3 linked regions of the Oreochromis niloticus genome follow. The protein of the gene in region 2 interacts with the protein of the main gene of each other region in a pairwise test. Links are inferred from orthologs where the notes say so. Each region holds a gene or a part of one and is shown on either strand. Other genes may lie near its edges. The genes, in order: lmo1, sox5 and kifc3.

What was found.
Region 1: the proteins of sox5 (region 2) and lmo1 interact in binary tests that used the Homo sapiens proteins (3 or more experiments, as listed by UniProt). The two-hybrid records come from large-scale screens. The link is inferred for Oreochromis niloticus from reciprocal best matches to the Homo sapiens genes SOX5 and LMO1.
Region 3: the proteins of sox5 (region 2) and kifc3 interact in binary tests that used the Homo sapiens proteins (3 or more experiments, as listed by UniProt). The two-hybrid records come from large-scale screens. The link is inferred for Oreochromis niloticus from reciprocal best matches to the Homo sapiens genes SOX5 and KIFC3.

The regions. Positions count from the first base shown.
Region 1 is NC_031965.2:20,035,876-20,043,750, reverse strand, and holds the start of lmo1 (rhombotin-1), read left to right. Parts: upstream 1-4,798; 5' UTR 4,799-5,660; coding exon 5,661-5,682; intron 5,683-7,875. UniProt on the Homo sapiens protein: May be involved in gene regulation within neural lineage cells potentially by direct DNA binding or by binding to other transcription factors.
Region 2 is NC_031981.2:4,135,705-4,143,613, forward strand, and holds the start of sox5 (transcription factor SOX-5), read left to right. Parts: upstream 1-4,891; 5' UTR 4,892-4,906; coding exon 4,907-4,950; intron 4,951-5,726; coding exon 5,727-5,960; intron 5,961-7,909.
Region 3 is NC_031965.2:37,985,322-37,992,622, reverse strand, and holds the start of kifc3 (kinesin-like protein KIFC3), read left to right. Parts: upstream 1-4,246; 5' UTR 4,247-4,537; coding exon 4,538-4,789; intron 4,790-7,301. UniProt on the Homo sapiens protein: Minus-end microtubule-dependent motor protein. Involved in apically targeted transport. Required for zonula adherens maintenance.

The sequences.
Region 1 (7,875 bases), on a different chromosome or scaffold from region 2:
CTGCTTTTTTATTGGACTTCTGCAAAGAAGAGCTCCACTTCATACAAAGACCCTTCCAGTTTCCCAGACACCAACTGGCTGACGTAGCACACTTGATTTGAACCAGAGCAGGGAAATCAGAGTGCATTAACACTGCATGTAGAAGGCACTAACTGAATGATCCCAGCATTATGTGGCCTCTGGTCTGGCCTATCTGCGTAGTTTGATGCATAATTTGAGCATTAATGTAATTTACATTTTCACACAGTCCCAAAAGTAAACTGATTAGTCGATAGTTATCTACTAATGTGCCAAGAGGACCCACGCGTCACTTGCATCCAGACAGGGACAGGATTACACATGACAAGGTTGGCCTTGCAGGAACACAAAGAGACAAAGCCTGCCAGAAGGACAGACAACAGAGAGTGGTACCACACACATATACACACAAAGTCTAGCACAAAATCTCGTGAGGTAAATGGCTGTCGTTCAGGTTTGCCAGTGTAGCATTTCTTAGTAACTGGATCCATCTTTCTTCTTTGTTTTCAAGGACCTTCAAACAGACCACACCAATAAAGAAGGAGAACCGGAAAGATAAATCGAGAGGATAAAGAAAAAAGGTTCACAGTTATGTTAACGCCAACAAATATGGCTACGCAGACTTTTGAAGGCAGCCTACGTACATTAGTCAATCTAAAATTCAAATTGAGAAACTTATTTAAAGTAGTGCCAGGCTGTCAAATGCATATTATCACAGCAGAGTTTCTTCTTTTTCATTGGACAAATTAGTGCCCTCCTAGATGATAGAAGTGCTTTAGAAAAAAGTGCAACAGAGTTGCAGTCCCATGATGCAACGCTCCCAGTGGTTACATCTGCTCCATTCTTTCATCTTTCTCCATTGTTAGGTGGGAGCTGTCACATTAGGAGGAGAATCGTGGCTCCTTCCCACCCCCAAGTATCCCTTTTTTCCCATTCCAGCAGTTGGCAGGGTGGCAGGCCCATACAAAGGAGCATGCACCAGGAGCACAGAGGGGAGCACCGTTAGAGGAAAAACAGTTTGGGAATTAAGGTCATTAATTTTCCACTTTCAAGGGCTGCCACACAGACGGAGATAAAGTCAGCATAAATATTCTGCCGAAGTTTCTCCTGTTTTTCTCCTCTCCCCATTTTCATCGGCAGCCCATTTATCTCCATGCTGTCAATTAGAGGCAAAAGCAAAGAACTAATTAGGAACTGTGCAATTTTAATTAGCTGTTTTGATAATTAAACTAATTGGTTCCCTTGTGTTTCTGCAATGTGTGCTGAGAACTTTTTTGATATCTGGGCAGCAGATTTCCTATCCGCTGGTTAATTAGTCACTTTTGCATTAAAAAGGAGCCTTCCTTAATAGCCTTAATTTGCAGTTGAAAAGAGAATCTACCATCAATAATTTGTGTAATTGGTAACCGTTTGATTGTAATTTAGAGGCACGGCCGGACAGCTCGGCATGTCTAATTCCTAATGACTAGGATTAAAGTTGGATTAACTGTTTGGGAAAGGGATTCACTCTCCCCTCTTCCCTACCCACCAACTGACACCTTGTCTACATGTGATTGGTCATGAAATTCAAATTGACTAGGTGAACAGCAGGGTTTATACTGTTTCTATATGATGAGCATGCCAGGTTACATCAAAAAGATTCCAATAATTATTATTTTCCACACGAGTAAAAGATGAGTAAAAGATGATTAAAAGAAGAGAAGAAAAAGTGTTAGCAATTTATTACGAGATGTGTTAAAAATCAGCTATCAAAGCCCTTTGTGAGCAAGTCTGAGGGGAAACATAGCCGGGATCAGCCACTAGGAGGAGCAGAACCTTAACTCTCAGGGTAACAAAGTAAAGCAGGCCTCACTCTTGAATGTAACTTTATTTGTGTAGTTTTTACAGATTTTCTCTGACTATAAGCACGGCACATTTACAAACAGCACACAAATGTCTGCCTTTAAGTCACAGACCTAAAAACCTCAAGTCACGTAGTGACTATACTCTATTTTTATTTTTCCCTTTTGCAGTGACCTACCAAACCAGTTTTTCCTACAGTACAGAAACAGAAACACGAGGGAAATCACGCCGATGTTTACAGGTGTCAGCAGAATGCCAAAATGCATTCAAATATCGGTGGAAGCTGGAAAAGCCTGGACTAAAAGCATATCGTTCAGCATCTTAACTATCAGGCACTATCTCTATACTTTTACAACACTGAGCCCCGTCAGTGGTCTGATTAAAAAGCACCATTCATCCCACTTAGCCAGAATACAATTAAGGGACATGGCTTTAAAAGCCCAGCCCTGAAGCCTCTCCCCATCCCACATAAAAGGAGCACTCTCCACTGAGCCTTGCCTGTAAATATCATGTTTGATATGAGGTTTTAATCTGCTTAGCCATTCTGAACTATAGAATGGGCTCATCCTCTCTCTGAAACCCCTGTCCAATGGCTGTGTGCCTGAGGACGAATAGGAACACAACACTAGTGTGCTATCTGATTAGGTGGGGTTAATTACAGAGCACTGTTTTGTAGTGGTTGCATTTGAAAGCCGCCCATAAATAGATGGGCATGGCTAATGCATGCTCAGAAATGAATTTTAATTAACTGTGTATCAGAGAGGCCCACTCAGGGGCCTGTTTCTAGTATTTACTGACCTAGCTGCTGGATGTGAAGTAGGAAAGGGTCTGCACCCAAGACAGAGGGCTGAGAGGATGAGCAATACACCGTGGCCTACCTGGAGCATGTATCACAGGTATTATAATTTATAATTGATCATTTTAGATTTATATTAATGAGAACTACCTTTAGTGAGAACCACTGCTCAACTTGTCCGTGACTTCACATATGTTAAAACAGGACTTTATATATGGTCCTGTCAACACCATATAACTCCAAAATCATCACAGACTGATGGTTGGCTAGGAAGCGAAGGCTTTATACTGTAATGCACTCAGTACCCTTTTAGCGTCACTTTTCACTGTGCAGGGCAGTCTGCAAGACAACATGAGCTAAAATGTTCTTCTGGTTGTGCAACCCTGGTATCCAAGGACATGTAGCAGTCACATACATAGTCATAAACATAAAAGATGTCAGAAAACCTTGTTGGAGATGGCATACGTTTGTCTTTTAACATGTGTGAATAAATGTGTGGTAGTGCATCTTTTAATACAAACCTTGATTTTTTTCTCAAACTTTAACAATGTTGTCTTGTTACTTAAACATAATGACATAATTTTATTGTCTAGCCCAAACCAAGCAGCAACAGAAAAGTCAAATATGGCAATAAAATGGATTCAAAAGGGGCTTCCCGGTGTGTTCAAATACGAAACTAAAATATGACGACCAAGCTGGTGACTTTAATATACACGGGCACCTCTCATCTACAAGAAATTTTTCATAGCAAGCAGGGTCTAGTGAAACAACTGTGTCAAATCCACAGGAATCCACAAAATGGTGTTCACATTCAAAACTCAAATGGCTCTCTGAAGTGGAGCCCTGATGATACTGAACCATTCTTCCCATTTCCTTCCCAGTTTTCCGTGTGATTGGATTAATTATGTGTCACTCACTTTGCTAGAGGTCAGCAAACATACATTCTCGGTCATAAGTCATCAATCTATGTGACCGTGGAGATGAAAAGTCAAGCGTGTCAGCCAGAACGCTATACAGAGAAGGATCAGCCCATTGATTTGAGGGCCAACCCAATCTCACCACAGCCTGCTGCGCTGAAAACTGAAATTATCCCTACGGGCCATGTACAGTCAGCTTTATACCTTAGATTTGTAGTGCATGATCACATTAGAAAGGCCTATAAAATGTTTATTTCAAAAGCAGAGCAGGATAATTACAGAATAATAAAGCATGCATAGTTCATCCACTGCAGACTAGTGTTAAAACAGAACCTATAATCAACTCAAAACCGGAGCAGTTTAGCTCGCGCTTCGTCATCAAAGTTTTATCTCACAGATAAGCTTTCACCACGGCAAAGTTACTGAAAATGTGCTCCGAAACAGTTTTGAATAGAAATTGCATTATTATCGCAATTGTTTATTACAATAATTTGCTTATATGGGAGCTAATGATGATATGCCTGGAGGAGGTCTGTAATATGTGTGCAAAATGTAACAGAAGGCAAGGACAGACTGAGCGAGCTCACACCACAGACAGCCTGCTGGCTGCTGACGAACCTACATTATTGTAGCTATACTCCACTCTACTCTCCTAAATGGCTAATCTTTGTTGGATCTCACCCTTAATTGGTTAACAGTCTCCGCAGGGCAAGTGAAAGTGGTGCTATTTAAGGCTCCACCATGAAACAGCAACACTTTCATCTTGGCAATAACAGGCAACAATTATATTACCAGATTCGAAACTGAACCTTCTATCTACCCACTAATCAAAAACGCAGCCCATCTGTTGTGCTGTCTTTTGAAACGACTGTTTATCTGCAGCCTGTATGATAACTGTGTCTGGACACTAATTAACTGCTAAACAGACCACAATTAGATGCTATTTCTATTAAATTCTGCAGAAGAAAAAAAGTAGGGAGAAGGGGGAAAAGAAAAAAAAAAAAACAATGAGCGCGTTTTATGTTTACTCAAACTGTACCAGTGAAGCACTATTGCTCTCCTTCAATGTCTCTCTTCCTCTCTCCCTCTCTCTCATTCTCCCTGAAACATGCACCCGCGTGCGTGCGCACGTGCATCAATACCAACTTAGGTGCATGCGCGCTCTCCTTCTTTCTCCCTCTCGATCGCGCACATTCAGACTGGCAGGCGGACCAGTTACATACACGCACACACACACATACACACACTTTCCCTTAGCTGTGCTTTTGTGTTTTGTCAGAATTAATGAGAAAAGTTCCCTTGCCCTAGGGGTAATTAGTGTCCTTGGAGTTAAATAAGCTAATACTTAGACACCTCTGGCACAAGCAATTATGTTTGTGTATTGAATAATTGATTCAAAGAGGGGGGAAGGGCTGCTAATCAGATCTGAGCATAATGAATTGATTTAATTAACAGGGGAATCCGAGGGTCTCTGGAAACTGCGCGCATTTATTCAGTAGCAGCAGAGGCGAGCGCGGCACATAAACTGGGAGAGAGGCGGCGCGAGTTTGCTTTTAGCAGTTGTCAGATTTGCAATTGGATTTGTTTGAATATAGTTGCCGTTTCGGAGCAAATGAGAACGGGAAAGAGAGAATATTAAGAAGCGAGGAGAGCTCAGCCGTTCAGTCTGAGCGTCTGATCCGACCGTGTGTGCACAGTTACAGATAGGCGACACTAGATTTGTATCGCTTTTCATTGTTTTTGCCCCCCTCCTCCTCTTTTTTTTCTTTTTTTATTCTATTCGCATGGAATTTATCAAGAGCAACCGACGCTGTTTGATCGCTATTTGTTTGCGCTGCACTTCAGTCCGGATAGGGGTTTCTCGTCGTGTTTATCGCCGTATTCCGTGTGTGAATTATTATTGATAGGAGGGAGAAAACGCGCAGACGGCAATTCATCTTTCCAGGGTTTCGGTTTATCGAGGCGTAGTCTAGTCAACCGCGCGTTTCAAAGCCATTTCCAGGAGAAGCTGTGAGCACACCGAGCGGTGCAGCCTGCTGGAGCCGAGGACGGATCGCCCGAGGAAGGACTCCTCGTTCCTCAGGACGATGGTGTTGGACAAGGAAGAGGGTGAGTAACGTCTACCACCGTAGGATGCTATAACCTAGGGAGTAACACGGCAAACTACTGACATTTTACACGCTGAGTGTTTTTTCCCCGTCGCCCCCCGGACCCTGTGCACCGGCAGCCTCCGCTTAACGCTGGCTTTTTCAACCCCATTCAGTCACGATGGGGTCCGGGCGATTTTTTCTCTTCCTCTCCCCTCCTTTTTTTGTTAACTAACAATATCGTATGTGCTTTCTGTACCACGAAGTTGATGCGCTCTTCCACAAAAACCCTACAAATGCCAAACTGCAGTTCAGTTAGGGAGAGTTTATTATAAACGGGATTTGTTTGCAGCTTTTTTTTGTCTTTCTTTTTTTTGACGTGTGAGCCAGAGTTTGATGATACTCCACACAGACTGCAGTGCATGTGGCTCCTCTTTTCTTTCCTCCTCCTAAGTGCTTTTTGCGTCTGTGAAGTTGGCGAGGCAGCCCTTTGACATCACCACGGGATGGGAGATGACAGCAGAGTGCTTTTAACTTGATTGCAAATTATGGATAGCGCCTGTGCAGCGTTCGCTCACTTTCCATCCAAATAGGCCTACTTGCATTACTTATCTATTTCAATGTATTTAGGTTAATGGGTGAGGCAATCTAATTAATTTTAATTTAAATCAAATTCGCCTCTAATGACGTCCCATTTTGGATTAAGCCGATGTTGAGATGTGTGCAGTGCATCCGTCACATTCGGGTCTGTTTAGTGCATATGCTCTGAACACATTTGCACAACCTGATCGAGATGAACTAAAAACCAAGTAGGTGTGTGTTGCATGTCTTTATTCTGTCACTTCTTTAAGAGTATTTTGAGGTCGATTTGCTGACAATACAGACCACCTGCTGGCATGCACGCTGACAGCCACCACAACCATAAAACACTTCTTTTTTCCCCGTGTGTGCGTGTGTGTGTGTGCGTGTTATTTCTCAAAGTACGGGATATTTCTCTTGTACACTCCAGTTTATGCAGGGCTCCTCCTCCTCCAAAAGTAATGGATGCATCTGTGACCCATTATTTATGTTTGAAAATGGATCTTTCATTCATCTTAGAGGAGCATCCTTTCACTTACACATCCAAAAACCAATAAAAGGACTGCGGTAGAGACATAAATTGGTCTGTCTGGCTGAATCCATGTTGTGCTGCTAATGTACTCAAATTAACTCAACTGTAAATTGTCTCCTTTGGATGTCTGTCTTGCTAAAAGTTCCCTATATGATTCATGATTCAGATTGCTTTTAACAGTTATTGGCTAAGCAATATGGTAAATGTACAAGGTGATGCAAATGGCATTAGTGGGAAAGGATGCACAGGAGCATGTAATGCAGTCAATACTACATTAACTACTGATGCCCAATTACAGAACCAGGGAGAGGCTTTTAGGAGCATTAGGACTTGCAGAAAAGCTGAGATCACCTGCTGCTCATTGCCTAAAAGCTTCACCCTTTATTTGCTGGGTCCAACCAGCAGCTCCAGCATTTTGGCCAGGTTGTCAGCAGAGCGGCTCGGGTCTGGTCTCTTTCTCTATGATGCCTCTTAGCGTTTATTGGCTCCAAAGTTATAGGCTTGTCAATTCAACCTTCACGTCTAATGTATCCACTTAGTGCCTGCGCAAACAGATGCGCGCGTTTGTGGCAGTGGAGGTGTGGGTCTAGGTGGCCACATGTGTGTTTATGTGTGCTTGCTCTGCATTGTTGTTTTGGTTTTTTTTGTTAGTTTATTTGTTTTTTGTTTCCTTGATTGATGTACTACTATGCCCGTGTGCGAGTCGCCTAAGTGTTCATATTTCAGTCCGTACGCGGCCTATAAAACAGATCATCAGTGTGTCTGTTCTCGTGTTCAAAGCCAGCGATCCAAGTTGGCAACAAAGTAATGATGCTGCTTGTTTGGCAGACCGTTTTTGAACTCTGACTCCTCTTAGAAAAGTCTGCAACAATTTGTGCTGCAAAAGCAATTACCAGAAACGAGCCTCTGTGACTGATACCAGTTCTTTTCCCACTGCACAAGTTTGTCACGAGTCGAAAATGTAAAATAAAAATTTGTGACGCACCCCTGTCAGCTGTCATTGAAATACTCGTTCTGAATGGTTTCATGTCGGATGCAGATACCTGTGGATACTGTGTGTAAACTTAGCTCCTTACTCTCAGATGATTAGGTCATTATCCTTGT
Region 2 (7,909 bases):
AAACAGTTTTAGAATAAAGTGTTAGAACTTTCTGCTAGAGGTCAATAGGTGAATTTTTACCTATTGACCTCTAAGGAGCAGGTTAGGTTCACAGCATAAGTTACTGTGGTGATACCCATTAAAAAGGTGAACCACCTTTGTAGTACAGAAAACCCAGAGTCAATCCTGAAGTTGCTTAGATGAGACAAAACCCTGCTTTGGAGCGCAGGCCTCGTTCTATCACAGGGCTAACAGAGAACCCAACAATGATCGTGTCTTTGGATACTGAGCAGAGAGCAGAACACTTGGGAGGAATCCCACAAAGGCACAGGATGAGCATGCAGAAAGACACAACCGGGTTCAAATCAGGAATCTGCAACCTGTGACACTGCAACCAGAATGGCATCAAGTCATCTACTAACTAGACAGTCAGTGGTTTGATCCCAGTGTGCATGTCAAAGTATCCTTGGGTAATATACTAAACTGGGAGTGCCTCCATGCATTCATCAGACTATGACAGTGTGCATGAACATTAGACAAAGTGCTTAGGCATACAATAAAAGTATTATTGTATGTGTAAGGCTTAAGCACTTTAGAAATGTGCTATATACTCTAGGTACAAATGTACTTCTAAAATACCTACTCGAACTACTGGTTCTTTTTTTAATCATCATACAACTTCTGCAGTCTTTTGTTGTCCCTGTTACAACTTTTTTTGCAATACTGTTGTTGGCATTAAGAAGACAAAGACTTACAGGATGATGGTGGTTAAAATTTCTAGCTGTGATATTAAAGATACAAGGGACCTTTAAAATAGAGAAATGATTATATGTTTATACTGTAATAATATTGATAATTTAGCAGTCATCCTCAAGCACCTGAAGGTAAATTGAACTGAACTGAAAAAACAAAAACATCATAGACCTTCAGACGTTAGGGCACACGCAGGCACACTCACACGTATGTAGAACTACACTCACACCATAGGAGAGAGAGACAGAGAGAAAGACAGATCCCTGAGTTACCTAGCTGCTAAACACTGAAGAGAGGAGAGTGAATTTGGAGTGACATCCCAGTTATTGCTCTTGACATTTGTGCATCGTCCAGGCGCATATGTGCAGTAAAAGCCGCACCTAGGGGAAACTCTGTGTGTGTGTGTGTGTGTGTGTGTGTGTGTGAGTGTGTGTGTGTGTGTGTGCGCGCGCGCTGATGAGCTAAGCACAGCTGAGGACAGACAGTGAATGAATAATAAAGTGTGTCAAACCTGACCTATGCGGTCACTCTGCTTAGACTTTCCCTTGTTTGACCGCCTCCCCAACCTCCTCCCTAACACACACAGACAAAGCCTCTTGTGCGCTAACTTTAGAATGATGAGACACCAATGATTGTCTTTGTTTTTCAGCTTTAACATACAGCAGCTATTGAACTGTGAAAGTGAATTGGACAGGGATCAACCATATAATATAGTTTTGACAGCCTTTGAAGCGCATCCGCTCTGCCCCCACGCTTCTGCTGATTGCCCCTGAGCCCTCTTTCTCCTCTGCAAAGGCATACTGTGGCATTTACAAGGTACAGTGGGCAGCGGGACGCACATTAGAAACAACTAAGCATACATGGATGGAGAGCGAGGTAACAGTGATTTAGGGTGAATCATTTTGGTTGAGTGAAACAGTGATGAGTGATGAGTGAAACAGCAAATAAGAAGCTTGGAAAAAAAAGACAATTCGCAGCTGGTGACCATCACAAAGGAAAAAGTAGATCCCGCTAATCAATGTGAAATGCTTAAACGCTAACATATTTTATAAAATATGCTGTTACTAAGTGCAAGACAGGGAAGCTTATCTGGGAGCTACAGATGGCTGGCAAATAAAGGAGAAAACAACAGAAAGTGTCTATTGATCGGTCCTCTCCACCATGATATCGCCAAGCTTTTCCAAGTCTCTGCATCCCAAAAATATGTTTAAGAAAAAAAAGTATATATTTTTGGACCCTTTTAATGATTAAATCAATACCAACAACTTACATCACAATTGTTTGTCCGGATGAAGAATATTCCAGCGTGGCAGTAGACTGTTACTATCGATTTAACAAAAATGAGAGTAGAAAATTTGTGAATGGATTTTTGCTGCAGGCTGGTAGCACCCTTAAAGACTTCAAGAGACTTAATGAGTACTGTACAGCCTGTCCTTCCTGTGTTGTGCATTTGCAGAGAAAGGCATTCTTTCACAGGATACCCGCTCACTCATGTTTTAATGGTGCAAAATAGGCTGAAACCTTTTATACATGTAAAGCAGCCGAGGTCTGACAACGGCAAATAATATGTGATTTTAACCACTGAGTGTGAGTAAATTTGGTTAGATGCTGGGCAGTGATTGCTCTGTATTAGCTTGTGATATTTTCTTGAGAACCTGAAAATGATGTTTCCCATTTCTCCCCCTTTTTGATTTGATCTGCATTTGTGAATGACCAGTGAGCACCTTGCTCTCTCAGACTCCAGGGAAAGACTGACTATTTATCACTGACTCCACCTTCTTGCTATGAGCTACAGCTCGGTCATTACTTACCTTCCTGGTTAAGAAGCCCTGTGTCTGATGCCTGTTTGGTTGTGGCGCCCAGTCTTCCAGCAGCTCCCAGCTCAGTCAGTATCAGCAGGGGGATGCCATTACCTACATATTGTTCTTTGATTGGGCGACTTAGTAAAACATAATTGAGAAAAGACCCTACATCAATCAGAAGCACTCCTGGAGAAAAAAAAGACAAAGAGATAAATCGGTCAAACTACTCAAAAGAAGTTTTTTTTTTTATTTGGTTCAATTCAATTTTATTTATATAGAGCCAAATCCCAGGAACAGTTGCTTTAAGGCGCTACTTTAAAAGAACAGCAGGGTTTTTCCTGGCTAACAATGGGTGTTTATTGGGTGTTATTATGTGCTTAAGCCCCCAACAGGTCATTGCAGATCGGCGCCCCTCCCTGAAACTGCTTCTGCCAGAGTTTTCTTCCTGGTAAAAGGACGTTTTTCCTTCCCACTGTCATCGAGTGCTTGCTCATAGGAGGTTATTTGATTGTTGGGATTTTCTCTTTATTATTGTAGGGCCTTTACCTTAGAATATAAAGTGCCTTGAAGTGACTTTTGTTGTGATTTAGTGGTGTATCAATAAAACTGAACTAAGCACAACTGGCTATGCATGTTGTTTAAACAAGTCTGTGTTAATTTACTTGATGTAAGTCTGCACATTTGCCTGTTGTTTATGGCTATACAAAATCATATTCAACATTTAAAAAATGGCAATATTTGTATCACAGTACTGGTGATTCTCCTTTGGTGAATGGTCATTATCTCTTTGGTGGGTGCCAACATTTTTCACATCCAGGAAAATTGTACTTAACGGCTTATGCAGTTGTTAATGTAGCATCACAAATGTGGTCTAACCCTGTTAGAAAGCCGCAGAATAATTTTGACTTGTGCCCAGCATGCATTTATTGTTATAGTTATTGCCATTTTAAAAAAAATTTTGGCTGAGTGTTAAACAATAGCACAAAAAGTTGTGGCTCAAACTTTAAATCAGACTAGTCCATTTGTGCATTTGTCATGAGTCTCTTCTTATTTGAATACTATCTGATGATTTTCAAGATAGGGAGCAGTGTGAACCCATATGGAATCTTCATGGGGTGTTTTCATGCTGTCATTTTGTGAAATGAAATCACAGTATGTGATCAATATCCATTGATTGACTGAAACATGTGCAAAGTACAGTTTTTAAGCCCTAACCATAGTTTGTACAATTATAATGAGTTTGAAATTCAGTATTTGGTATCATCACCTTAGCAGGCTTTCTTGTAATTTTAAGCAGTCTTTAGAATTAGTTCTCCAGGCTGAGGAACATTTAAAGCTCTTCTTTGGATGGTGAACGCATGTAGTTTCCTCAATTGCTTTAAAGGACAACCTGCCAATATATCCCACATTTTCACTCAATGCATTTGGGAATCACAATGTTGGTGCACAAACACATGCCTGTCTAATTGTCTTATCTTTGGTATTTTTCATAGATTCAGCTAAAGAAATGGATACAAATTATGTGTTTTTGCAACAAACTACTAGCAACAAGGTGCCTACAGATGCTATTTAAAATTGGCTATTTGCTAAATTATCTGCCATGTCTAGACACAACATTGGTTCACTGCTTGAGTTAGGTGTCTTTTTGACACTGGAATGATTCATAGGTCAGTGTTTAAAACACTTCTCTGAAAATGGTCAGATACAAGGACTGGAGTGAAAATGAGTGAAAAAGCAGCCAATGTCCAAACTTTGAAAACCCCTCAGAAATCCTTGAGAAATATTGCTCAAGAGCATAAAAAAAAACTTACAAGAAGGTACTTTGAAAACAAAATACAAAGAAATTTAGTTTGCCTTGAGACTTTTACACAGTACTGTATGATAAATAATTAGCTTTATTTCACAAGTTATCAAAGTCTAATAAATGCATAAGTTGTCCCAATTTCATTGACATGAGCTAATGGTTACAACCAAATACCATTGTCTTATCAAACAGGTTATCTAGGCAAAAACATGTCCTATTTTTGCCTGATATATTTTTCTGTCTGGCTTCTACTTCACAAACCATGTGGCAAACGTTTCTCCTCTTATTGAGTCACTTTTCTGGCCTTCATGTGAATTTTCGCAGTCTGGACGAGGACCAGTTTTTAATTAATTTCGGCACCACATAAAAAAGGCTACGTAACATATAAGAAAACCCCCAATATTTACCGCCTGCCAAATTTACTTAGTTTCCAATGTTCAAGTTCAAGTTAAATTAAGTATGCGATGTCATTTTCAAAAATGAAAAATCTGAATTAAATCAGCCAATGAGTGAACTAGGAAAGAGGGATTTGGACCAATGGGGAAGAAGGAGAGTGGCACTGCGATGTATGCAAATTAGACAGTTTAGTCAAGGTCCTCGCGAGCTTAACAGGTGTGAGAACATTTTTCTTCTTTTTCTTGTTTTTCTTTCTAAAGGTGAGTGTTTTATTCTGAAAGTTGACCATTATACTTCGAGAGCAGTAGACGTACTAAAAAAAGAAATAGTAGCCACAACTGCTTTTAAGCGAAAATATCCCATTTTTGGACTAGCTTGCTTTCATTGTAGGTCAAAGTTTAGCCTCGGGCTAAATGTAAACGTCACCAAATCATTTAAATGACTGACTGCAACTATTCCGGCTCAAGGTGTGGTTTCTCCCCCGCAGTTTAGTGCAGGGCAGGTGACACTGAGGATTTTACATTACACGTCTGGGTTTTTTTTTTTTTTTTTTTTTTTGAGTAAACCCACCTACTACAAGGCAACATTTAAAATTGGTATTACTTGCTAGCCTGGTAGTCATTCAAAGGAGCCGTACTTACTGTAGCTGGCAGAAACCTGGTTCTAAGGGTGACCGAGGCAGATGGAATATAAAGCTTGTGGTTTTGAAGTGTTTTACAACTTATGATAGTGGCACATTTAAAGTTATTCCTCTTGACAGTCTACAGCTTCAGGTCAGATTTTACCTCCTATGTTTTAGATTTTACCTTCTGGTTGCACATCAGTTGTAGACTTTTAATAGTTAGTTCTTGGTAAGAGAAATGTCTTGACTTGAGGAGTAGCTGTTGTGAAGAGGAAACAAATGGACTTCTCCTGCCCTTAGTGTCTCAGCTTTGTGTAATTTGCCCAAATCTTGTCCTGTATGTGTGCATGCATGTGTGTGTAATGTGAAGTGAAGTGAAGAGAGAGAGTGGAAAAGAGGTGGTGTGGCAAGAGGGAGAGAGAGACAGAGAAGTGACACAAATCAATGTGAGCACCCAAACCACCATCACCAGCAGCAGCAGCGGCGGCAGCAGCAGTCTTTCACCCCCCTACCGACCTCCATCACCTCCCTGTCTTTCAGTGAGAGAGACCAGTGGAGAACGGGAGTCACAGGAAAGACGGGCTCCTCAGCAGCGCAGCATCCGGTAAGTCGTTAAAGAGCTAGGGATACCTCCCACCATGCAGTCAAAGTTGCAGAAGCGAAGACAATAAGGGCACCCTGGCAGTGCGACTTTGCTCTCCAAGGCTCAGAGTGTGCAGAACAGGGTACACAGTCATGGATGAGCACCTTTTTAAATTTTTAAACCCCCACCGCACAGCTTCTCTTCGCTTCTTCTGTGACGGCTGCTTCTGTTGCAGCTACAGCACAGAGAAAATATCGCTTGGAAGAGGACAGCATGAGAGAGCCGCCGCTGGTCCTCCTCCAGTCATATGTTTTAAAAGCCTGCTGGGGATTAGGGATTGGATTGAGGGAGGCTTTTTTCCGCCAATCACCGCCCTGCCTCTCAAAAAGCAGGAGAGGGATGGTGGACGAGCGGAGGAGAGAGAGCGGTAGTTCTCTAATGCTGTAATATTTCTATAGATACTTACATTTTGCCCGTGGCTTTTGTTTTTGTTGACACTGTGGGTCTGTGTGGGATTAATTGTATCTATCAGCAAGCATGTGGAAAACTTTTCTTAAAGGGCTGTGCTTATACTGGATTTAGAAAATTACACGTGCATGAGTTGTACATTTGTTTTTCTTTGGTGAACAAAGAAAACCGTCAGTTCTGCATTTGCGGGGAATCAGCTTCAGTTGAATCTTTAATTGTTCAAGGTTTTCAGCAGAATATTTTGGGTTTATTTTACTTTTTTATGGCTGTTTCTCATTTCCTAGAAGCTGCTATCAGTAATTTTGCTATAACAGAATTAGCTGAGTTTGTCATTTGGTTTGGTTGCCACGTTCGTCTAAATTATGCATCCACTTTGATGGCTTTAATCAAACTCCATAGGCTTACAGAATGAAGGGCAGCAGGGAAAATGGTTTAGCACAGGACTTGAGCTAATGTCAAAGCTTTCAAATTAGGACAATCATAGTAACACGATTATCTACAAGACAGTGATTGAAGGGCAGCTTTATTCAGTATTAAAATTGTTTGATTACAGTGAGAAAAGCTTGGCTTTCTAGTTTTGGCTGGTTTTGGTTTTCAGTGTTGTTTCACAGCAAGAAGGTCCTGGGCTCCACTTCTGCTTGGGGCCTCTCTGTGGGGAATTTGCATGTTCTGCGGATACTCTCACAGTCCAAAAACATGGATGAGGTGATTCTAAATTTGTCACATGAATCGTTGTCTGTCTCTGTGCGTTAGCCTTACAATAGATTGGTGACTTGTCCAGGCTGTATGCTTCTTTTCACCCTATGACAGCTTGGATAGGCTCCAGGCCCCCACAACCCTGAATTGGATAAGCAGATGAAGATCGGTGGAAATTTTATGTTCAGAATAAAACCCTGACCATCAGTAGTGACCTCAGGTTTATGTGACCTTTTACCACTCTTATTTAAGCCAATAACAAACAAAATAGTTTTTTGGATAAACAATAAATCCCTGTGAAAATGAGTTGTGGTATACCTAACTTTATCCACATTTTCATGTCTGCATTGCTTTGTAATTTCACCTCCAAAGAGTTACATCACTCCTACAATACCTCACTAACACCACTAGAATAGAATAGAATAGAATAGAATAGAATTCAACTTTATTGTCATTGCACATGTCACAGGTACAGGGCAACGAAATGCAGTTTGCATCCATCCAGAAGTGCTTTAGCCATGATATAGATATATTACAATATATATTAGCAATAATATAGATATGTAAGTATATTACAGAAATGGGTCTATTATGGTATGTTATAATGTACACGGTATGAAGTATGTTATGAATATTCTATAACTATAAGTATGTACAGGCTGTAGTGAGTACAAGCTATGTACAGGCTATGAACAGGATATAAATATGAAAAACTATACAGAATATGAAATAAAAAACTATACAGAAATATGAGATATACAGTTATACAGAAATGTGAACTATGCAAGTTATGAACAGTTGTAGGA
Region 3 (7,301 bases), on a different chromosome or scaffold from region 2:
CTCCTCCCCCCTCTAAGTGCTGCTGCAGTGGTGAAAAGAGTAAAAAGGTGGGAAGAAGACGGAGGGTGGAGGGAGACAGGAAGTCAGGACTACAGAGTAGAAATCGGCCTACAAGTGCAGTTCATGTGCTGGTTTCTCTGGTTTTACTGAAACGTGTCTGATGTGCTGTTTTTGTTCCTGATACATGAATAAATTATAAATGAGAGCGCACGCGCTCGGTGACAATAACAGAACCGTTACCAGCTCCGGGTCTCCATCCTGAACCGAGGCTCATCCTGGTAACTTCGGGGTTAACCCCTCTTACTGCCGCGATCACCGCCACTGCAGACCAACCTGCTCTGGAGTACGTCGTGTTTAAGGTCGCTTTGGTCCTGCTTTTGTTCCCTGTAAGATCTTTAAAAAGGAGCAAAGCAGAGCGTCCTGCACACATCTAAGGTTAATTTGAGACGATGTGTAACTGCTCAGCATTCAGATCCTCCCACTGCTTAATGACAGAGCTGTGATGGCGGGAAGGCCGTTATCTTCAGAGTCAGGTTTTTTTTTTTTGGTTTGCTTTCCGTCTTTTCTGTAAATAAACTGTTTATATCGTCTTTTTCTCCTTCATGCAGCTCCGTCCTCTCAGTCTGCAGCAGCTGTGCAGGGTGTTTATTCTCTTCATAGTTTCTAATCCTGAGACTTCGTCAGTGAATCTGTTTGTGGAAAGTCCGCCTCTCAGAGCTAAACTGATATTTCTGGGTCAGACTTCTCCGGCCTGATAAGGAAAAATATCCTGGGTGTGTTGAACTGGTTTGCAGCCCATAAACCATTTATTAAAAAAACTTTGCTGAAGGATTGATGTGATTGGTTCAGCTGTGTTTGTGGGGGCTACTCTGAGATTTCTGGACAGATGTGCTTCAAAGTTGTCACAAAAATGTCTTCTTTTAAATACTAACTGAGGTTTCATCTGATGTCTTCAAGAAAATATCAAACTAAATGTCCCCAAAAACAAAAACCAAACAAACGTTATTATTTTAAGCTGAATTTAAAAGTCTGTGACGGGCAGATGACCCTCCAAAGGAAAAAGCTCCTCAAATAAAAGCAGCAGGTTTCCGGTAATCTGCAGCAGGTCTGAGCTTCTTACAGTCACCAACACACCTGAGACATGAACACATGCCTGCACTGCCCCCCACAGGACAAACACAGTAACAACACATGTGAATCCTCTCAGTCTGACCTTGTTATCTGTAAACATTCCTCTGTGATTCACTTGATATAAACATGAAGTCTGAGGTTCATGTGGAGGGAGGGTGTGAGAATGAAACACCGGGTTATTTATCCACATTTATCTAATCAGCTGATCATGTTGCAGCAGTTTGGTGTGTAAACATTTTCCATCGCGTGTGTGTGTGTGTGTGTGTGTGTGTGTGTGTGTGTGTGTGTGTGTGTGTGTTCCTAATAATAAAGGCGAGTCTGATCTGATAACTGACACTCCTCTCCGTGTTGAGGTCATTAACTTGCCACAGCCCGCTTTCTCTGGAAGCCTTTATACCTCTGATTTGATCAGTTATTATTTGATGCCGCGTTCAGGTCACCTCGAGAACAGGAAGTGGTTTCAGGCTGGGATCTCGTTCTGTAGTTTTCTCTTGTTTCTGCAACGCATCATTTTCTTCCTCGGGCTCTGACTGAAGTTTAGAGAAAACGGCTAAAGGAAAATCCGCTCATCTCTAACACACAGTCCCAGTCTGAGCACAATTTAATCACAATAAAAAAACATAAAAGAAGATACCAATAACAGCAGTCAGCCTGGTTTAAAGCTAGAGAATAAAAACTGGCTTTCAAGCAGGTGTTACAGTTGTCTGCTGACGGAGTGGCAATTTATTCTGATTTACTGCGGAGCTCAGTGATTGGTGGAAGGAGGCGCCAAACAGCTCAGGTCAGGAAGCCAGCATGGATGACTGTCGTCGTGCCACTTTGAAGCAGCCGTAGTCGATCAAAGTCTATGAAAGGCTGTCTCTCTTCCACAGCATGTCTTTATCCTGTCTTCTCTCACCTCAACCAATCACAGCAGATGGCCCCGCCCCTCCCTGAGCCTGGTTCTGCTGGAGGTTTCTTCCTGTTCAAAGGGAGTTTTTCCTTCCCACTGTCACCAAAGTGCTTGCTCATAGGGGGTCATATGATTGTTGGGCTTTTCTCTGTATGTATTATTGTAGGGTCTACCTTACAATACAAAGCACCTTGAGGCGGCTGTTGTTGTGATTTGGCGCTGTGTAAATAAAACTGAATTGAATTAAAACAGAGCAGATATTAGATTCTGCATTAGAGCCCTTGTGGGTAAAATAATAAATCAGTTCAGTGTTTTTTGTTTTTGTTTTTTAAAGTCTGAGATTTAAAAACTACAAATGTACAAGGAAGAAAATCCACTGATTTTCTAACTAACACTCGCTAGAAAATTGTTTTGGAGCTGCTGTGAGTTTAAAATAAAACTACTGATCGGGAAAAAAAACTGAATTTACAAGAAAACAGTCGTGAAAGTAACGAAGCCGATAAAAATGTCTTAAATCTGAGTGGGATTGATCTAAATTTACAAATAAATGTGAGGACGGAATTTAAGAGTGCATGTTTTCCCATGCTCCCTCGTTAACAGTCGACCCCCTTCTGTCCTCATTCTTTATTGTTTACCATCAGCTGTAGAATAAACCGCTGCGTGTTTGAGGAGCACGTTTGGACCTTTAGAAATTAAAACTAAAGTCTTCCTTGGCTCATTGAACTTCTGCAGGAACTGTTAAAAATCTCTGAGATCTCTGGAAACTCTTCGATGACCCCTGGACCTTCCTCGTGAGATTTTTCTAACGTGTGACCCTGAGTTTGGACCGCAGCCCCGCCCTCACCTCGTTAGCGTCCTGAAAGGGGTCGGTGGACCGGAAACGTCCCCCTTTTGTTCTTGCAGGAACGTTTCCAGAAACTGTCCCGGCTCTGTTTACAGTGAGCTGCAGGACGGATCGCTGCTATATGCAGCAAGGTCTGCAACCAATCAGAGGCGAGCGTCAGGATTGAGTGGCTGTGATTCAGACCGTCAGCTCCCACTGGGTCAAAGTCCCAGCATGCCCGGCTCTGTCACATATGTCACCTATTTAGGAGAGGTGGTCGACATCCCCACGACATGAAAGAAAGAGGTCACTCTGACCTAAAACCCTTCACTTTACCAAAATAAAAGCCTTTGGGAAAGTAGATGAGGCACAATGAGCAGGTCACTGTTTCCACAATAAAAGCCTTTAATGATTTTCCAATCTGCACATTCAAAATGAGACTGTAATGTCAATCAGATTGTCCCTGTCACCAAAATAAACGCTTGTTCTGATCTAAAATTATACTTAAATTTTGAAAAGACTGAAGTCTAAACTTTTCTGGACTATTCTACCAACTAGAACATCACTGCTGTCAAAATAAAAGTCTTCTCTCATCTAAAATTATAGTTGGGACAGCACTTTCCAAAATAAAAGGCTTTTCTTCACTCTAAAAATCAGCCTTTACAGATTTTTATGACCAGTGTGCTGCAGTCATGTTTACTGTACTCTGTATTTCTACGGTCTCTTTATTGAATAAAAGTGCTCCAGTAAAGTGAAAGTTACAGAGATGTGATCAGTTTAAGCAGTGACTACAAACGGATCAGTGATCAAAGAACTGGAAGTAATCCTGACTGTTATTAAACGTGAAAACCGGCACGTAGCTCATCCTGAAGATATTAACATAAATCCATCGTTTAGTGTCGTGCTGTTACGTCACCGGCGATCCTCTGCAGTTTTATCCTGCAGCAATAACAACAGATGGTCCCGGGACAGAGGGAGGGAGGAGAGGAGGCCCCTCGAGCTCTTTCTCTGATCCACTCAGTCTGATGGAGGGGAAGACCCGACCTGCCACAGAGGAAACAGTTTCCTGCACCTGCTGCTCATCCACAAACTCTGTGAGGAGAAGTTCTCTGACTCCACGCAGGAGCTGGATTCGTGCTTTTCCTGCAGGTCTGCAGAACAAACTTTGGTTTTTTTTTTTCTTGCAGTGGACCTCAAGGTCAGAATATCACTCCAGGGAAAACTCTGCTGAAACTTTGCATCTTGCTCTGCGTCCGTGTTGCACTTCGAATCACTTTTCTCTTATGTGGGGATTTTTGTTTTTGCTGCACGCCTCTGCAGCCTCGCTTCAGAGCAGGAGGCGTTTGCACAGTCTTGAGTTTCAGTGAGAAACTGAAACTGGCGGCTGCAGGCTCTGGTTACCCGTCTTGATAACCGTTGGCGTGACAGCAGTGAGGAGGACGGGACAAGGTTCAGAAGCTTTTATCATCTGATGTGATGTTGACGGGGCGGGGTTCGGGACAGAGGTGAACAAACACAGCAGGATTTAAACAGCTGATCCTTTTTAGAGGAAACATTTAGAGCGAGGATCGTCAACCTCAGCGGGACCCAAACGAGACACCTGTGAGCTCCCACCTGGGCTGGAACAACCCTGTGATGAAACCAAGCACCCACCCGAAGCACCCTAGAGTCTGAGGGTGGGGCGAGGGGTCATGTATGTCCTGTGCACCCTGGCGGTTCTGACGCTCCACAACCTGATTAAGAACCGGAACAAACCGGAGCAAAACCGGTCCACTGAGGCCGCGGGACGGGAAGGTCGTCTGAAGGATGGGAGCGCAGGCGACGGGTGCTGGGGGGTGTCCGGGACCCGGGATCGAGTGGATGGATCAATGATCCGCAGAGCTGAGGGGAAGAGGAGGCGAGGGGCCATACACAACCTCCCTAACAGCAGGAAGCAAGTCCAGGTGAGGAAGAGGTCGGGTTCAGACGGCGTGCGGTTTTAATTCCTGAAAATATTAAAACATAAAAACTTTAAAAACAAGTTTGGGAAACCGGGGACGCACTTCTAATTTTAGAAGGAAATACGAACTTTTAGTTACATTTTAGGTGAGTGTGAGTTTGCACTTATTAAGGATTTACACCCTGATTTCACCCTGATAATCACCTCCGAGTGTAAAGTTGAACCCTTCATTTATCAAACAGGTGACGTACAGCCTGAGAGACTTCACAAAAATGAGCATTAAGACCTTTGCAAAACTGTCACATGATGAGTTTTTGAACTAAAGTACTTTATTTTATCTAGTTATAGACTGATTTGTTTGCATGTAGAAATATTTTTACTTTATTTCCGTTGGCCTCACTTCAGCTGGACCATCAGGTGAACTGGACCATTTGTAGCCTGAAGCTTTTACACCTTTAATTTGGTCAAATTAGTTATCTAATAGAATATAATACTGCGTTTAAACAAGTAAATCTTTTTAAAATTATGATTTTGTTTCCATGAAAATGTGATCAGTCTATAATCTGAATGAGGGGGAAAAAAATGAACCAACAGTAGAAACAGAATTTGAATTTCTACTGTGTGCAGGAAGATGGCGCATAAACATGATTGTCATTATTTTTAATCAAAGAAGTAAATGTTGTTAAAACTGTAACCATAATGGTCCCAAATCACAGCGGCAGTTATGAGAGCTCGGAGTGTTTTTGTTCTCAACGTTTCAGTATTTATGAAATCTACTTTGGTGATTTTTATCGAGCTGCTTTGAATCCTGCTGCTGTCCAGAAGTTTCCACAGAGCAAAGTCGGTTTGCTGATTCATTTATTTATTTATTTATTTAGAAGCCTGACAGAACGACTCCATGAGTGACTGATTTTATTAGTGAACAAGCTGCTCTTATTTTTGAAAAGTCAGCCACTTCTAACCAGTTAGCCCAGTTAGAGGTTAAACATTTGAAACCCACTGAGGAGAACGTGAAGCACAGGATGCTTGAGGCTCTAACCCTGCAGGCACCAAAATTGAACGAGTCCTTTCTTTGAAGCGTCGGGTCTCGCTCATCTTTGCATTTCCTGATTAATCCTGCAAACAGTAAAACAGACATGGGTCAAACCCGTCCATGGAGGGATTATACAACTCTCACACTAACGCTCCTAAAGTATGAGTTACACTCCCGGCCGACTGCTCGGTGAAGACTTCAGTTTTCGTTAATGAGCGACTCGTTGCACGCGGACACAAACTGAAGGCCCTGACACGTATTCACAGACGGGACTCGCGTGATTTCTGTGGGGTAACGCTTAAAGAGCAGGACTTTCACTTACAGTGGGGTAATTTTATTTTCCGTGTCCTCGGGGGAGGACAAGGCAACCCTTTGTTGTTCAATAATCATAAAGCTGTGATTCAGCAGTTTTTATCTGAACTTGCTGACGGACTGAGGAATGTTTACAGCTGCACAGTAAATGTTATCATATCTGAGTGCAGCAGTAAAATGTCACTAAATGTTGTAAATATTAAACTTTACGGGGAGTTCTGTTGTTAGGCAAAGGTAAATCTGCTCTCTGATTGGCTTAAAAATCACCTGTCTGAGACGAGAGGTCAGCTCAGCAGGGTTTACGCGGTCAGTGACTCAGACTTGGTGGAGCTCTGATATCAACACAGGTATTATTTGATTGTGGAAATAGCCATAAAATGATAGCAGGGCTAACTTTTACTGCTGAGTGTATTTTGTGATGGACTGTTGTGACGCATGTTTGGGTCTTATTGTCAGATTTGTGGTGTTGTGCGGTTTGCTGCTATTAAAACTATAAGTGCGCTTGTTTTACACTCAGGTAAGCTGGTGTGAAATACTTCACAGGTGATGAACCTGTATGTGCTCCTGTATGAGTTAACAATTATGTGTCGGCTGTCAGAAACAGCCCCACCTGCTGGTCATGCAAACTGATTGCACTTGTGTAGATGGACGTGAATGATGAGCTCGGGACGTGTGTACCAGTCTGACAGCTGGACAGATGTGGAGTCTGAGCCAGAGGACGGACTGTGAGGATGATCTCAGATTTCACTGTCCCACCCTCCGGAGGCGCTAGAGAGCATGGAGCAAATATGTCATTTGAACTGCTTGTGAACATGCATTTACCTCTGTGCGTTTATTTTAGTCCCCCTGGTTTACTTCAGGTAATAATCAACCCCAGGAGACATATTTGTGTAGTCTGTATGTGCGGGGACAGGCGGGCACGAGTGTTGTTCAGATATGGTCACTTTTTAAATGTTTTTCCCATAACTCTAACACTCTGACGGGTCCCGGCGGCTCCTGTTGATGCAGGTTTTGATGTTCAGAGGCTTCATGTTTGCTGGTTCCAGTTAAATCTGATGTTTGTCACAGGACATTCAATCACATGATATAAATGTCTGAAATCCTCTGGCTCCTTATAGGGAGACGGCGTTCAGGGTCGAGCGCGTCGGTCACATCAGTTATGTAACCAAAC